Linked DNA regions of Nothobranchius furzeri. The protein of the gene in region 1 binds, or shares a complex with, the protein of each later gene. Links are inferred from orthologs where the notes say so. Each region holds a gene or a part of one and is shown on either strand. Other genes may lie near its edges.

Region 1 (4,043 bases):
AAGAACAAAGACTCGCCTCGGTAAGTTTGCCTCTTGTTAGCTGCTAACATAAGAGTAGCAACACCAGTAGCGGTGGCGAATCCCTTTAGATACCTTTAGAACACGTTTGTATGTCACGTATTTTTGCTCTAATTACAAACACTAATGATTCATTTTATCCCGCTACGTTACAGTGTTAATAAAAGTGCTCCTCTTCAACGGACGAGTTTGTTACGTGCACACCTCAGCAAGCCAACGTCCTGACTGATGCCGTTGTGAGCATGATGGTCACGAGACTCCTGTCCATGGTTGCTGATCAATGTTTCAGATGATCAAGCAGCTCAACCTAGGATACCACGACTACTACCTGACTGATCCCATTTCACCACCATGATGGAAAAGAAATATGAAACAACCTTTAAGGTGTGTGTGTGTGTGTGTGTGTGTGTGTGTGTGTGTGTGTGTGTGTGTGTGTGTGTGTGTGTGTGTGTGTGTGTGTGTGTGTGTGTGTGTGTGTGTGTGTGTGCACGACGCGTGATGCATCTTTGCCTCTGTTTCGCTCTGGACACAAATAAAATAAACATTAGAATAATGCATTTTATGATAAAAGGAAAAAGGTTGCTGACTGAACAATCAAGAAACTAATATTTTTTAAAGCATAAAACATTTTCTTTGTGTTAAATGTTAACCTACGTTATTTGATATAACAGAATTATTAATTTGGTAAATAAACTAACTTTAATATCTTATCTTTACGGTAAAGCAGACTATCAGAGCTGTCGACGGTCCCTGACTGCTGACATGTGGACCAGCCATGCTACAGAGGCGTACCTTGGTGTTTCCTGTCTTTTCCTGAGTTAAGATTGGAAGATGAAGCGCTTCAACCTTGCCACCATGCCTCTTGTGAACACAAGTCTTTTTGTGTACAATTAATTTTTGGTTTAGGTGCCTACCTCCATCTGACTGTGGCATTTGTTTAAACACGTTACAAAGTTAATTAAGCTGATCACACTTCACACTAGAAGCTAATGATGGGATATATTAGAGCTTCCTGGTGCAATGAACTGAACTTTTATGAATGACACGATTAGTCTACTAATTGTCAACAAAACTTGCGACTAGTCGACTACTAAAATAGTCCTTTGTGGCAGCCCTAATTGCAACATTACTAATTTTCATAGGAAAGCAGGCCGGTGATGGCACAGACTTCCTGGTAAGCTACAATAGACACTTCAAGTGGTTTTAAAGTCTATAACACCTTTAAAGCAAAGAAATAAAGAGCATGCATGTACACAGGATTAAAGGGATATTCAATAAATGAGCATAAACCCATTTTACAAGAAAGATAATGACCTGATTAATAAAAAACTAATACACAGATCAGCTAATACAAAATCAACCCTGTGCATCACATTTAGACTTTAAATGTTGTCATTTTAGTCACCAGATTTACCCAATAAGACATTCATTATTCAGGGAAATCCTCTGAATTTATTCTATTTAAAGACTGCTGGATTTTAGCCCCAAAAAGTATTTTATTTTTCTGGAACAATTGTTGGGTCAATAATTGCTTCCATCTAAACAAAGAAAACTATAAATACACTTAAAAACTTCAACATGATCTACTCTGAGCGATTCAAAAACAGTAGGAACAATAGTAAATCTAAAAAAGTATGTGTGGATTGTGTAGATTTTAGACTTTTAGAACATCAGAACTATAAATTCATTTGATAACATACAATGTGTTGTGTATGATGCAGTATTGTGTATGTAGTTACAGAAAACTGTTATTTTATTGATGTTAGTTCTAACAGTTAGTCTCTTGGCATATCTGTCTCACGCATTAGCAAGAACTTGGGATGTTCGATGGCACATTTATTAGGGCTGTGTCCAAACAACATGTCAGCAAACCCAGTTTAAGACTTCACAAAAATAATGGAGAAGCACAAATTATATTTTTGTCCATGAAAACCTACAAAGAACCATGTGCACCATATGTAGTCTGCAAGTGAGTTTTAAAACACACTTGTGAACAAAATTACTGTGGTCCAACATTTTGGAAAAATAACTGATGCAGATTAAGCCAATGGACACATGAATATGAACAGGACACTAACCTAATGGCAGCTAGCATGTGCTGCAGGAGTTCTCAAGTACTGCCTTGCCTTGTAAAATAGTTTGTTCATTTTGCAGCATTCCCTTTGCCCTGAGAGTAAAAAGGTGAGAAAATACATTTTTTGGGCCTACAAATTCCAACTTTCTACAGACTGTTGCGGTTCGACATGATGATGTTATCAGTTCATTTTTCATAGCCTACTCCTAAACACAGACCTTCAACCTTGTCCGCACAGCGCTCCTTAGCTTTCTCCCTCATCATCTTGGGAATCAGCACGTCCTTCTCCACATGCCTTAGATGGATTTCCTCTAAGGAGAAAAGACCCAAAGTTACCGTTTCTCTTTATTATCAGCTGCACTGATGTATCCATACGGTTATTATCAGTGACTATTAAATATGTAGATTCATAAGCAGCAGCGAACGACTAAACAACTTAATGCACATAAGTGGACAGAGTTGTCATGTACTACAGCATGGATGGACTACTTCACCACTTAGAGCCAGTTTCACCTATTTCTGCTTACAATTACGCACGAGCTAACGTAACTACCTAGCAACCATTACGATTATAAAACACCCGCAGCATCAAAGGTGAGTCTAACGCCCATTACCTGTGTTCGTAGCCTCCATTATTCGGTGGAGTTTCTCAAAACATTACAAAACCGAACCAATGTGACCTAGTGCACATACGCTCAAATCACTTCCGCTGACGTAAGAGGCAGCTTTAAAAACTACAAGTCCCATCAAGACACACCGACCCAACCAAAGTGATTCTGCTAGCATTGACCTCATAATAGCCATGGCTGTAGTTTACATGTCGTTTTTATTTATTCAGTTAAATTTTATTTATTCAGTTTATTTATTCAGTTATTCAGTTTATTATTCAGTTAATTATTGTTTCATATATATATATATATATATATATTTTTTTTTTTTTTTTTTTCAGTTGCGGGCGGTGCGTTCCACCCCTGGGCCTTCAGTGATTTCCTATTCAGTCCAATCTAATTTAATACACCTAAAATACCATCAATAGGACATCACAGCTGGAGAAACCTCACACACACACACACACACACACACACACACACACACACACACACACACACACACACACACACACACACACACACACACACACACACACACACACACACCAGTGGCTGGTCAAGACACATAATTTCCAGAGTCTTTAAAATCAAACTCGCATTCCCAGTTGAGAGTAGGAAGCTGACCACGGATACCGTCAAATCTCAGAAATGAAAGACGGGTTTAAGAGATGAGACAATAAAATAAATAAGTAAAGCAAACACATTATTTGCATTTGTTTTGGAGAAAATGGCACCGCGAAACAATTGAACATGTTGGCGCAGCTGCACACACCACGTCATTCACAATATAAATTGCATAGAAACAGAACACAGAATAATTTCATTTTGCCATTTTATTTCGTTACCATTTATTGATTATTAACAAAATAAAATGACAAAACAGTAAAAAATACTAATAAAATGTTTCTACTCACCAACATAAATGTCCAGCATGGTTCTCCTCCTCTCCTGCTCATTAGAAAATAAAATCCATCCTTTCTTTCCTCAGGGAAACCTCAATGGCTCTGTACAGTTTATCTGTGCGCTTCAGGTCCATGAGTGGATCCTTTTCTATGGACATGGAGGCTAATGCTGAAAGACATGTCTGCCCGGTCGTGTTTCTGGCGTACGCGTTTTAACGCGCTTTAATGCTACCAAATCCATCTGATGCGAGCAACGGGCATTCCCAGCAGAATAACCTGCAGCGGTTCTCTGAAGCTGTTTGCCATGGGTACCGTTCATAGTTGCTTGCCTGAAAATGACGAACAAATCCTTTCCCCTGCTGGGACAAGCCAGCTAGCGTTGGAGTCGGACGACCTGTTCTCACAAGATCCACTTTTTCTTGAAAGGTCCGTCTTGAA
Region 2 (3,213 bases), on another chromosome or scaffold:
TTGAAAGGGCTTGGAGTTCCTCCATCTTGTTGGCCAGTGATCTCACATTGCCCATTATGATCGATGGAAGAGATGGTTTGAATTTCCTCTTTCTCCATCTCCGTTTTGCTCCCGCTCTGCACCCACGCTTCTTGCGTTTTAGCTCATTTGGGATTTGTGGCTTCAGTTGAGGTATTATTTCAGCCTTTCCAATGTTAATCAGCTGCTATCGATTGTAAACCAGCTTGTTGCCATGGTTATGCATCATAACAAATGCTCAAAAAGTGAAAAAAGCTAAAAGAAATAGCAGTAAAAATCCTCCAAGCTTCACAGCACCAGAAACAGAAAAGTAAAGTGTCCAAAAAATACAGTTTTTCTTGAGAAACTATAAGAAAAAATGCCCAAGAAAAGACAAAACTTACATATAGTCAACAGAGCTACTCCAACATGCAGCCACCCAGAGCAGCGCAGTTCCGGAAAAGCCGCCGTTTGAAGCTCAGCTCTGATGTGGCTCACTTCTAGTTCCTGAAAATGGTGCGCCGGTGTTTTCTTTCCCCAGAGTATGACACACGAGATGTTTATTCCTACTAGAGACTACTGCAAATGTATTGATTAAATGAGGAAAGGGAAGAGGAGAATGGGGAACTGCACTTGTAAAGTTACAATAATTAGTACACTTCCTGTAAATTCTTCTCAGAAGTACCAGGATGTGAACGTTTCCTGCATCATGTAGATCGAACTCAGTCCTTCAGTCTATGGCTTTTAAGATTAAGGATATTTCCGTCCTCTGGAAGACAAAAACTGTTACTACAGTCAATGTTAATAAAGCTAAACAAGACCATACTCATTATTACTTCCTGTATGTTCTTTCAAAATAAAACATAGCATAGTTTAGTCCAGATAATGAGAAAGCCAGAACATCTTCTCTTATTCAAACTACTTAACTACTAAAACTCAATAAATATATCTAATGTATCTGTGTTTAACCAGATGGAATCAATGAGCTAAAGCAGGAAATATTAGCAGCTAGCTGAACATTTCAGATCTCTGCTCCATCTAACTTCTACTTACTGAAACAGAAGAGCAAATGTTTTACTTTTTTCTTCACAGAAAACGACTCACAAGGATTTACACAAGAGCCACCATAACAAATGGGGGGAAATGTTCCTGGTATTGCAAGCTTGTTGTTTCGTTTTTGTCCGGTAGGTGGAGGTAGTCCAAGCTGATTTGTTTACTCCTAATAAAGACAACAAAGAAGAAGCTACGCCATATTGGTGCGACCTAAACCAGCTTTGTTTGTGTGACATTAGCCGATTAATGTTCTATAATTAAACGTCACGGTGACATAATTATACACTATAGTAGGCCAGCCGCTGTAGTTTGTACTGCCGTTCACCTCAATGTGGGTTTATTGACAATAATGGCGTATCTTCACCCTTTAAAAGCCTTGTTACACCGAAGTCTGCAACACACAGCGGCAGCGCAAACATGTCAGTTGCGACTGTTAGCTCACGCGCGCAGGACTTTGTCCACAACACCAGGACTGGTCCTTCTCGGGACAGATAGTCCTCTGTCTGCGCTGAGTTGTCTCCGTGTGGCTGTGAGACCGCTCCACTGTTCAGCCAGAAACAGGAGCAGGCCAGAGGACGAGAACAAAGCGGCGGTGTCCAGGTATCAGCGCGCAAGCCCCAAAGCTTCAGCTTCCCAGAAGAGTAAGCTAATGCTAACGCTATGTTGCTATGCAGCACGGTACAAAATGCTGTAGGTTAGGGTTAGTTTATGCCAATTACTGCATGCTGTTGTTTACTAAAGTCTCATTGTGGGTGTCTTCCAGTAAAAGAAGCTGGTAAAGACTTCACCTACCTGATAGTTGTGATCATCGGACTGGGAGTGACAGGTGAGAGTAGCCAGACTGCAGAAACAAACGTGTGATTAGCAGCATATTTAATTTGATCTTACCCGCTGCTGTCAAAATAAATAAAAATGTGTGCGTTTGTGTTTAGGTGGACTGCTGTATGTGGTTTTCCAGGAGCTGTTTTCGTCCAAAAGCCCAAATAAAGTCTACGCAAAAGCTTTTGATAAAGTCAGGTCACACCCAGAGGTGAGAATGACAAATGATTTACTCTTTTGGCTCTTTTCAGTATAAAGTTACATGCACGGTGCTGTTTTTGATTTGAAAGTGCAGGTAATCGGGGCATTTGGCGAGCCAATCAAGTGCTACGGTGAGACCACCCGCAGAGGAAGGAGGCAGCATCTCAGGTACAAACTAAACTAGGCATAAAACTGTGTTTATTTGGGATTATGCTGTTTTTTAATCTGTTTTTGTTTTCGCCTCAGTCATCTGGAGTATCTGAAGGATGGACTGAAGCACTTGAGACTGAAGTTTTACATTGAAGGCTCCGAGCCAGGCCTGAAAGGAACTGTTCATTCAGAGTCGAAGGAGGTGTGTAGGTTTCTGATCTGCTCACACAATATCCATTTTATAATAGCTGGTATCAAATACTAAGAGCTGAGAGGAAAACTGCATCCATTGTCTTTTGATTTGTTGTCTTTGGTTTCTTACTTCAGAACCCAGAAACGGGGAAATATGAATTTCGTTATATATTCGTGGATCTAGATACCTACCCCAAACGGAGCATCATCATAGAGGACAACAGATGAGAACCCCTGCTGTTCACAATCTGCATTATTTAAATAAACAAGGCACTGGTCACTGGATTACAATCTTGTCCTTTTTAATTTGAAACTAATGTGTTAAATGACTCAACAAAGTCCAGTTTGTGTCCCTGCTTTAGACCTTTTGACCCCTCTTTATTGCTGATCTGTCCTAAAGTGTCCTTCAGGGGGGCTTTCTTTTTAAATAAACGCGGACTCTTCTGCTTGACTAAATTAAAAATTTTGGGCATTTCTTTTTGCAACATTTATCTACTTTCAAAAAATAGATCCATCCATCCATTTTCATCCGCTTATCCGGAGTCGGGTCGCGGGGGCAGTAGCCTAAGGCGAGAGGCCCAGACTTCCCTCTCCCCAACCACTTTGGCCAGCTCCTCCGGGGGAATCCCAAGGCGTTCCCTGGCCAGGTGAGAGACATAGTCACTCCACCGTGTCCTGGGTCTACCTTTAGGTCTCCTCCCGGTTGTACGTGCCCGGAAAACCTCACCAGGGAGGCGTCCAGGAGGCATCCTGACCAGATACCCGAGCCACCTCAACTGGCTCCTCTCGATGTGGAGGAGC
Region 3 (4,243 bases), on another chromosome or scaffold:
AGCTGCTGGTCATCAGAGCAGCATTCCTGTTGCATATGGATGATGCAACCAGTCACAACATGGAATGTTGAATTTCCAACTTCCTTACATTCTTGGAATGAAAAAAGGGCGCGACCACCACATAGTTCTGTCCTAACCTTTACTGGAACTGAAAGTGTTGAAAAGTAACCCAAACATAAAGATAAGTGCTCCGCAGAGGATAAAAGTGCATGAATTATTTAAAAACAAACAATGTAGTACCACTAAACTGCACCTCCCCACGGCTCACGCCCCCACTAGTTAAAGCAAACAGGGGCAAATGTATGTACCCATAAATAAAGATTGTCTTATTTTGGTGTTTTTGATTCAAGAAAACTAAAATGGGATCATAATGTGTGTCTTTCCTGGTAACTAAGCCCCCAAGAATGAAAATTTCAGCTGATATTTTCATTGATGAATGCAGACACAATCATCTGACTAAAGAACTGAGTTCTTACTTGTTTCTTTAGGGAGTCTGAGGCGACAGTGTCCCACCACAGGCGAAAGAACTCCTGTTCCACAGCGATGAACCTTCGATCTTTGTACTTTGACAGCTCCTGGGTCACACTGGTGTACACGTTAGCTGCATAGGCATGCATGCTCTCCTGCAAAACACACACACACACACACACACACACACACACACACACACACACACACACACACACACACACACACATACACACACGCACGCACGCACGCACGTTTAGAGGGGAAAACACACATATTCATTTGGAATTCAAGATCACCCTCCACTACCTGAATGGTGTAAACCCAGCCAACATCCATGTGACTGTGAGGAATGACAAACGTTTGAATGGGCTGATCCTCAGCTGTCGATTCATGTGAACAAAATAAACAAAAACACACAAAAACTGTAAAAAACATATTTTTTTCCATCCTGAAAATGAGAAAATTCGTTCGACAAAATCCACCAGCTTCACTTCCTTATCATGTTGTTGTTTAGAATGACTGGCATTTCATACGGAAGCCCTGGTAGCCCAAAAGAAGTGACGCGAGTGACGTTCAACACTGGTGTTACATTCAAATGCGCCCCCTATTGTGTTTAAATCATGCCCATGCTATTTCACACTTATATAGTTCAAAATAATTTTAAAAAACTGCTATAAGGAAAAATCTTCATAAGTTATTTTTAAACAAATTTTAGCAAGTAGCAAACTGAAATAAAACAAAAAAATCTCAGTGTTCAGTTGGATAATAAGCTCACACATATCAAATAAATGAACTTATCTCATATTGTCAAAGACAATTTTGTTCTTTGAAGCTAAAATGTGTAAAAGTTAGCAAGACGGAAAATATTTTGATGTCTAGTTTGGGAACATTTTCAGCGGACACATTTCTATGTAGAACATATCATGACGTAATGGCCGGAAGCTGTCGCTGTAAACGCAAGTAAACACGCTTGGAGGTGAGAGACCGCCTCTGATGTAAGAAAATGTCCAAAAACGCTAAAATAGTGTTAATATTCGGAGGCTTCGTTACGGCGGTGGCCGCTGCGTTTTACCCCATATTTTTTTATCCTCTAACACACAAAGACGATTACAGTAAGTGCTTATTTTCCAACACGAGCACTCAACTGCTTCATATTGTGTTTTAACTTGAAATCCAGCAATGCTAAATGTTGTTTGACACGATTGAAACGCTAGCTAACTTTAGCTTGTTTACCACTGACTTTCTATGACAGAGTTTTTAATCCCGTAGTGAAGAAATCAAACCAGCAAAAATAAAATAAAAATCTTAACCAACAAATATGTTTTAATATTAATCTTGTGTTCTGTGTTTCTGTGATTTTGCCAGGAGAAGTCCAAAAGGTAAACCGGGCAGGAATTAACCAGGCAGATGTGCAGCCAGTTGGTAAGAACTAATAATAAAACAAAAATCAGCAATAGTGATCGGCTGTTATCTGGGTCACTCCATTCCCTCAGACTCTACCCAGCTGTTGCCGCCATTACTTTCTGTTATTTATCTGTATATTCAGTGTTTTGATACAAAAAGTAGATTTATCTCCCATTTAATTAAATTCCAACCCTTAAATCACTTTCAGCTTTTTTCAACTAACAAAATCAATTTATTAAAATGTACCCTTAAAGCTCATTATCTTAAATTTTAATTATTATTTTTATTTATCTCACTTATCCGTGGGTCCAAGGCATTTTCTAGGACTGTAAGAAGTTCAACTTCTTTTTTGTAGAGCTCGTTCTGCCCTTCAGTTAGTCTTTCATAAAACTGCATTCATAAACTCTGTTTTTCTGTCAATAAGGGGTTCTGTGTGTACAATGAGAAAAAAATGAATGTATTGTTTTCCACAAAAACTGCAATATAAGAGGAAGAAGAAGAAAATATAATTTCTATAGTGCCTCTGAAGATAAAAATCATGAGGTGCTTCACATAAACAAAAAATGTAAAAATATCAAAAAGAATTTAGAAAATTGTTAAAATATATTTAAAATTAGCAAAAAAATAATAGACAATTGTGATTAGAAAATGTAAAGAGAGAGAGTGAATAGGAAAGAGGGAAATCAGTGGATCCTGAGGAAAGTGGAATAGGTGGGGAGAGCAGAATAAAGAGAGAGTGGTGAAGAAGGTCATGCAAAAGCCACTTTGAACAGCTGATTCTTCAGCTGCTTTTTGAAGGAGACCACTGAGTCCACTGATCTCAGGCTCAGGGGGAGAGAGTTCCAGAGTCTGGGGGGCCACAGCAGCAGATGATCTGTCACCTTTGGTCTTTAGCCTGGTGCTGCACAACCAGTAGGCTTTGATCACTGGCCTCAGGGACCTGCTGGGGGTGTAGGGACTAAGAAGATCACCAATGTAAGATGGTGCTTGTTCATGTAAGGCCCTGTAGACCTGAACCAGGATCTTGAAATGAACCCTGAAGTTGACTGGCAGCCAGTGAAGCTGGAGGAGAAGCGGGGTGATGTGGGTGTGTTTGGAGGACTTGGTCAGAAGCCGAGCACAGGCATTCTGAACCACCTGTAGACGGTTCAGGGAGGTTCTGCTCAGACACGTGAAAAGAGAGTTACAGTAGTCTAAGCGTGAGGAGATGAAGGTGGGGGTAACGATCTCAAGTTCAGAGTGGGACAGAATGGGACTCAGCTTAGCAACGTGCCTGAGATGGAAGAAGGAAGAGCGAACAAGAGAACTGACATGAGAATCCAGGGTGAGAGCTGGGTCAAAGGTCACGCCAAGATTCCTGACGGAAGGTTTGGTGTGGGAAGCAAGCTGACCAAGAGAGTCTCTGACTTTGGGAACCAGCTTGTCTGGGGCACAGATGAGGATATCAGTCTTATCTTCATTCAGCTGTAGAAAGCTCCCAGCCATCCAGGTTTTGATAGAGTCTAAGTAGGTGTGTAACATCTGCAGCTTAGACATCTCATGGGGCTTAAAGGAGATGTACAGCTGGATGTCATCTGCATAAAGATGGTAGGAGATTCCTTTGAAGGAGCTCAGGATGTGCTGAAGAGGAAGCAGATAGAAGAGGAAGAGCAGAGGCCCCAGCACAGAACCTTGTGGGACACCATGGGTAAGAGAGGTGGTGGAGGACCTAAACTTGGAGACGGCCACAGAGAAGGAGCGCTCAGAGAGATAAGAGCCACTCCAGAGCAGTTCCTTGATATAATAAAGTAGGGCTGCAACAACGAATCGATGAATTCGATGAAAATCGATTACTAAAAGCGTTGGCAACGAATTGCGTCATCGATTCGTTGTGTCGCACAACTCTTCCAAAAGCGCCCCCCCTTCCCGCCCACCGTTGCGCGCAGACAGATCAGCGCGAGAGAGAGCCGGCAGTTGTTTGGAAGAGGAACATGACAGAAGCAGCGAGAGTCAAAAAAGTAAAAGCTTTTTAAGTTTGGGAGCATTTTCAGTTAAATCAGGCGAAGACATGCGTTACCTGCAACGTTTAGGTCAGACTGGGATGCACGGGATGATGCAGCGTCTTAAACGCAAGCATGTCGGGATCATCAGCGAGGAAGGAGAGAACTCTGTGTCCGGGTAAATTAAAAACTTTTCAAAAGTGATTCATCCAAGTCCCGGATTATTACACAGGCTAGACATGCCCTAAATTCGTAAAAAAAGAGTCTAAAGTCGTGAGCGCGACGCTTATTAGATGAGCGGGGGGACTCGCACTGCTGCGAACCGGTTCCGCCCAAGGCCGGATTAACTGGGCAATTGCCCAGGGCCCACGAACTCTAAAGGGCCCAGG
Region 4 (4,157 bases), on another chromosome or scaffold:
TTTATATTTTAGAGACGTTCTTGTCCGTGAAAAGTTTATCAGCTCTGCATCAGCCGAGGTATTCCTTAAATTTGAAGTGTCTAAGCGGCATTCTAACACTATTAGTTAGTTCTGGTCGCGCTCAGTTTCCTATTGCACGGAGCTCTGTCGGACAGGGGGCGTGCTCAACAAAAAAATTAATTAATTAATTAAAAAGACGTATTGCTTACATTATATCACAGTACATAAGATGATCACTTTTACGATTTTCTGACAAATCATACGTAATTTCTGAAAGAGGAAAACTCCGGAAAGCTGCTTTAACTAAGCCGACACCCTCATGAATCTGCAGTGTGTTGCTCACCTTTAGATGGTTGTGTTGTAGTGACAGTGGTGCTCTGAGTTTGTGATTTTGCTGCTGCAAGGCTTTTCTGAGCTCCTGGAGAAGACTTTTGTTGGTGTTTGGGAGGTTTCTTGGCTAATGCATCTGTAGAATTATTCTTTAATTTCTTCTTCTTCTTCTTTGAAGGATCGGTGTCACTCTTACTCTTGAAATGAACTAATGAAAAGAAACATGAGATAACAATTCCATGCTCAGATATGGTATAACAAGCTGATTCCAAAGACACGATGGAGCAAAGCCAGGTCAGATGAGATTCTGACCGTCACGTTTTATAAAAATAAAAATGATACCAAAAATAATCAAGTCTATCTGCTTTCTTTCATCTGGAGGGCAAGCAAAAAAAATTCTAACAGAAACAAAAATGTCTTGTGCAAAGAATAAGTTCAGATAAAATAGGCTAACTAATCTTTGCATCCATATATATATATATATATAATCTACTAAAAGAAAGAAAAACATTAGCATAAAAACATTTTCCAAAATATGGCTCTATAAATAATTCCAGTATGTTGTGTGTGGGAAAAAGCAAACATCTACAGCACGCAGAAAATAATGTAGCGCCCCCTTCCGGTGAGCTGTGTTTTAACAACTGAGGTTTGAAGACATTTCATGTTTTTTCCCACCTATCATCAGCCATACAAATATGTAGCGCGCTTTGATATTTAACACAGAAACGTGTACAGCTAAGTGTAAATATGCCAAGAGCAGTTCAATATTACCAAACGGTCTCTTCTTCGGCTCCTTCTCTCGCTGAGAAAATAGTTTACTTGCATATTTCTGAATGTACGAGTCTTTCGCTGCGAGGTCCATGTTCTCAGACTAATTACTTTCCGCAACTAAATCTGTTAAATTTACAATTAAATAATTTTGAGCTAAAAATCAGCTCATGGCTGCAAACACGTGCATAAGAAAACAAACGAGAAGAGGACTGTCTCCGTTGCACCGGAAGGTGTTACATTGAATTAGTCCCCCCGCAAGCCAAAACGACGGTTTTGTAAATAATTTATTTAGTCTCCCTTTTACGGTTTTTGTTTATTCAGGATGACTTCGCTCAAATTCCTGCTCACGTTTTCCACCAGGCTTTTCCCGACAACTAGGAAACAGGTTGGTTATAAGTTATAACTAATAAATTCAGTGTATTCGTCTTAACAGTCACCTAAAAAAGATTATATGCAAAAAAAATTTATTTTCGTTTCACGTGATTTCAGAATGTTATAAACATCAAGAGGACTTTCTTCCTGGACAGAATCATTAAACGTTCAGACGGTAGGTACAGTTGTTATATTAATACCGATGATCACCTGCTTTTAACTACCGGTAAATGTATTTTTATATTCATATTTAAGAAGTTAAACATGCATAAATACTGACCCACTCACCTGGATATTTTTAAGAAAATGAAAGTTGAAGAATTTGTTCCAAAAGGATATCTAAAATTTAATGTAGATTTTAAATATATAAGTACAGCACCTATAATATATAAGATACATAATATGTTAATGCTGTTACAATTTATTTTTCAGTATTACATGAAAGTGTGAAAAGTGCATCTATGAAGAATCAACCTGCAGTTTCTTATTTCCAGGCAGGTGCTTGGACTTCCAGCGGCTGTGCAGCTCTGCAGCAGCCAAGGCCGTGAAAAGCGAAGACTCTTTCCTCAAATGGTTCCTGCTGCTCATCCCCGTCACCACCTTTGGCCTCGGGACATGGCAGGTATGGCTTGTCTTCCATTATTCTGTTCTGAAATGATTTGTTTGATTTCCATTTTATTGACTGAAACAATATTGTTACTATGAAGGTTAAAAGACGGGAGTGGAAGTTAGGATTAATCAATGAGCTCCATAGACTGACCACAGCAGAGCCAATTCCTCTTCCTCCAGAGTGAGTAAACTCTTGTCTCTCTGACACGAATCATCATGAGCAGCTATTACCGCAGGTCGAATATAACATGGGGACAGCTGTGGAAAAAAAAAAAACCAATTTAAACAAATTCAGAACAAAGTCTCAAACCCCCTAGTCTGCAGACAGATGGCTGCTCATTCTGACCCAGGTTCTGCTAGAGGTTTCTTCCTGCTAAAGGGAGTTTTCCTCTCCACTGTCGCTACATGCTTGTTTAGTATGAGGATTGCTGTAAAGTCTCTGACTCAGCAAGTCAGTGACTTTATGCAATCTGCTGGGTTGAACTGAACTCAGTACACTGATATAAGTGGTTCAGTTGGGATGTTTCGTCTCGTCTTCTTCCACCTATCCGGGTCCGGGTCATGGGGGCAGCATCCCGACTAGGGAGTTCCAGACCATCCTCTCCTGGGCCACCTCCACCAGCTCCTCCGGTAGGACCCCAAGGCATTCCTGGGCCAATTTGCAGATGTACTTTCTCCTACATGTTTTGGGTCGACCAGTGGGCCTCCTACCGGCAGGACATGCCTGAAAAACCTCCCCGGGGAGGTGTCCAGAAGGCATCCTGTCTAGATGCCCAAACCTCCTCAACTGACTCCTCTCAATATGGAGGAGCAGCGGCTCTAGTCCGAGTCTCTCCCGAATGTCCGAACTCCTCACCCTACCCGTAAGGCTGAGCCCAGCCACCCCGAGGAGAAAACTAATTTTGGCCACTTGTATCCACGATCTTGTTCTTTTGGTCATTACCCAGACATCATATGACCATAGGCGAGGACAGGGCAGTAGATCAAATGGAAAATTAAATGTGATTATAACTGATAAAACAACAATAATAGCAACAATAAAGTACTACTAACAGACCGGTTAAGCGTCTGCATCACTGCAGAAGCTGCCCCAATCCGCCTGTCGGTCTCCCGCTTCCTCCTTCCCTCACTTGTGAACAAGACCCCGAGATACTTGAACTCCTCCACTTGAGGCAGGACCTCTCTCCCGACCCAGAGTTGGCAAACCGCTCTTTTCCGCTCGAGAACCATGGTCTCAGAATTGGAGGTGCTGATCCTCATCCCAGCCGCTTCACACTTGGCTGCGAACTTCCCCACCAAGAGCTGTAGGTCAGAACCTGATGAAACTAGGAGGACCACATCATCCGCATAAAGCAGAGAGGAGATTCTCCTGCCACCAAACTCCACACACTCCACACCACGGCTGCACCTAGAAATCCTGTCCATAAACGTTATGAACAGGACCGGTGACAAAGGGCAGCCCTGGTGGAGTCCAACCCTCACTGGGAACAGGTTTGACTTACTGCCTCACTCCTCTGGTACAGGGACTGAATGGCCCTTAGCAAAAGACCATCCACCCCATACTCCTGGAGTGCCCTCCACAGGGTGTCTCTGGGGACACGGTCATAAGCCTTCTTCAAGTCCACAAAACACATGTGGATTGGTTGGGCAAACTCCCATGACCCCTTAATCACCCTAGCAAGGGTAAAGAGGTGGTCCACAGTTCCATGGACAGGACAAAAACCACATTGCTCCTCCTCCTCTGAGGTTCAACTATCAACCGGACCCTCCTCTCCAGCACCCTGGAGTAGACCTTTCCCGGGAGGCTGAAGAGTGTAAACCCCCTATAGTTGGAACACACCCCCAGGTTCCCCTTGCCTCTGTCAGTCCGCCCCAGGGCAGCTGTGGCTACATCGTAGCCCATCACCATCAGTGTGTGAATGTGTGTGTGAATGGATGAATGATGCACTGTAGCGTAAAGCGCGTTGGAGTCCTTAGAAGCGCTATACAAGTGCGGGTCATTTATCATTGAAAAATTGGGACCACCACCCCGGTCTGCCACTCCACAGGAACTGCCCCTGATGACCACGCAGTGT

What was found.
Region 2: cmc1 (region 1) and timm21 share a complex: the UniProt entries of both Homo sapiens proteins name them as parts of the MITRAC (mitochondrial translation regulation assembly intermediate of cytochrome c oxidase complex) complex. The link is inferred for Nothobranchius furzeri from reciprocal best matches to the Homo sapiens genes CMC1 and TIMM21.
Region 3: cmc1 (region 1) and smim20 share a complex: the UniProt entries of both Homo sapiens proteins name them as parts of the MITRAC (mitochondrial translation regulation assembly intermediate of cytochrome c oxidase complex) complex. The link is inferred for Nothobranchius furzeri from reciprocal best matches to the Homo sapiens genes CMC1 and SMIM20.
Region 4: cmc1 (region 1) and surf1 share a complex: the UniProt entries of both Homo sapiens proteins name them as parts of the MITRAC (mitochondrial translation regulation assembly intermediate of cytochrome c oxidase complex) complex. The link is inferred for Nothobranchius furzeri from reciprocal best matches to the Homo sapiens genes CMC1 and SURF1.

What each region holds. Positions count from the first base shown.
Region 1 is NC_091745.1:45,960,892-45,964,934, forward strand, and holds the start of cmc1 (COX assembly mitochondrial protein homolog), read right to left. Parts: upstream 2,857-4,043; 5' UTR 2,726-2,856; coding exon 2,707-2,725; intron 2,404-2,706; coding exon 2,311-2,403; intron 1-2,310. UniProt on the Homo sapiens protein: Component of the MITRAC (mitochondrial translation regulation assembly intermediate of cytochrome c oxidase complex) complex, that regulates cytochrome c oxidase assembly.
Region 2 is NC_091747.1:54,073,243-54,076,455, forward strand, and holds timm21 (mitochondrial import inner membrane translocase subunit Tim21), read left to right. Parts: upstream 1-1,210; 5' UTR 1,211-1,399; coding exon 1,400-1,691; intron 1,692-1,813; coding exon 1,814-1,876; intron 1,877-1,982; coding exon 1,983-2,080; intron 2,081-2,164; coding exon 2,165-2,238; intron 2,239-2,316; coding exon 2,317-2,422; intron 2,423-2,547; coding exon 2,548-2,640; 3' UTR 2,641-2,703; downstream 2,704-3,213. UniProt on the Homo sapiens protein: Participates in the translocation of transit peptide-containing proteins across the mitochondrial inner membrane.
Region 3 is NC_091742.1:58,395,907-58,400,149, reverse strand, and holds the start of smim20 (small integral membrane protein 20), read left to right. Parts: upstream 1-1,381; 5' UTR 1,382-1,474; coding exon 1,475-1,583; intron 1,584-1,836; coding exon 1,837-1,893; intron 1,894-4,243. Other genes in the region: man2b2 (epididymis-specific alpha-mannosidase), read right to left, coding at 477-623, 778-918.
Region 4 is NC_091746.1:62,108,725-62,112,881, reverse strand, and holds the start of surf1 (surfeit locus protein 1), read left to right. Parts: upstream 1-1,324; 5' UTR 1,325-1,423; coding exon 1,424-1,486; intron 1,487-1,590; coding exon 1,591-1,648; intron 1,649-1,967; coding exon 1,968-2,095; intron 2,096-2,180; coding exon 2,181-2,263; intron 2,264-4,157. Other genes in the region: surf6 (surfeit locus protein 6), read right to left, coding at 344-538, 1,102-1,192. UniProt on the Homo sapiens protein: Component of the MITRAC (mitochondrial translation regulation assembly intermediate of cytochrome c oxidase complex) complex, that regulates cytochrome c oxidase assembly.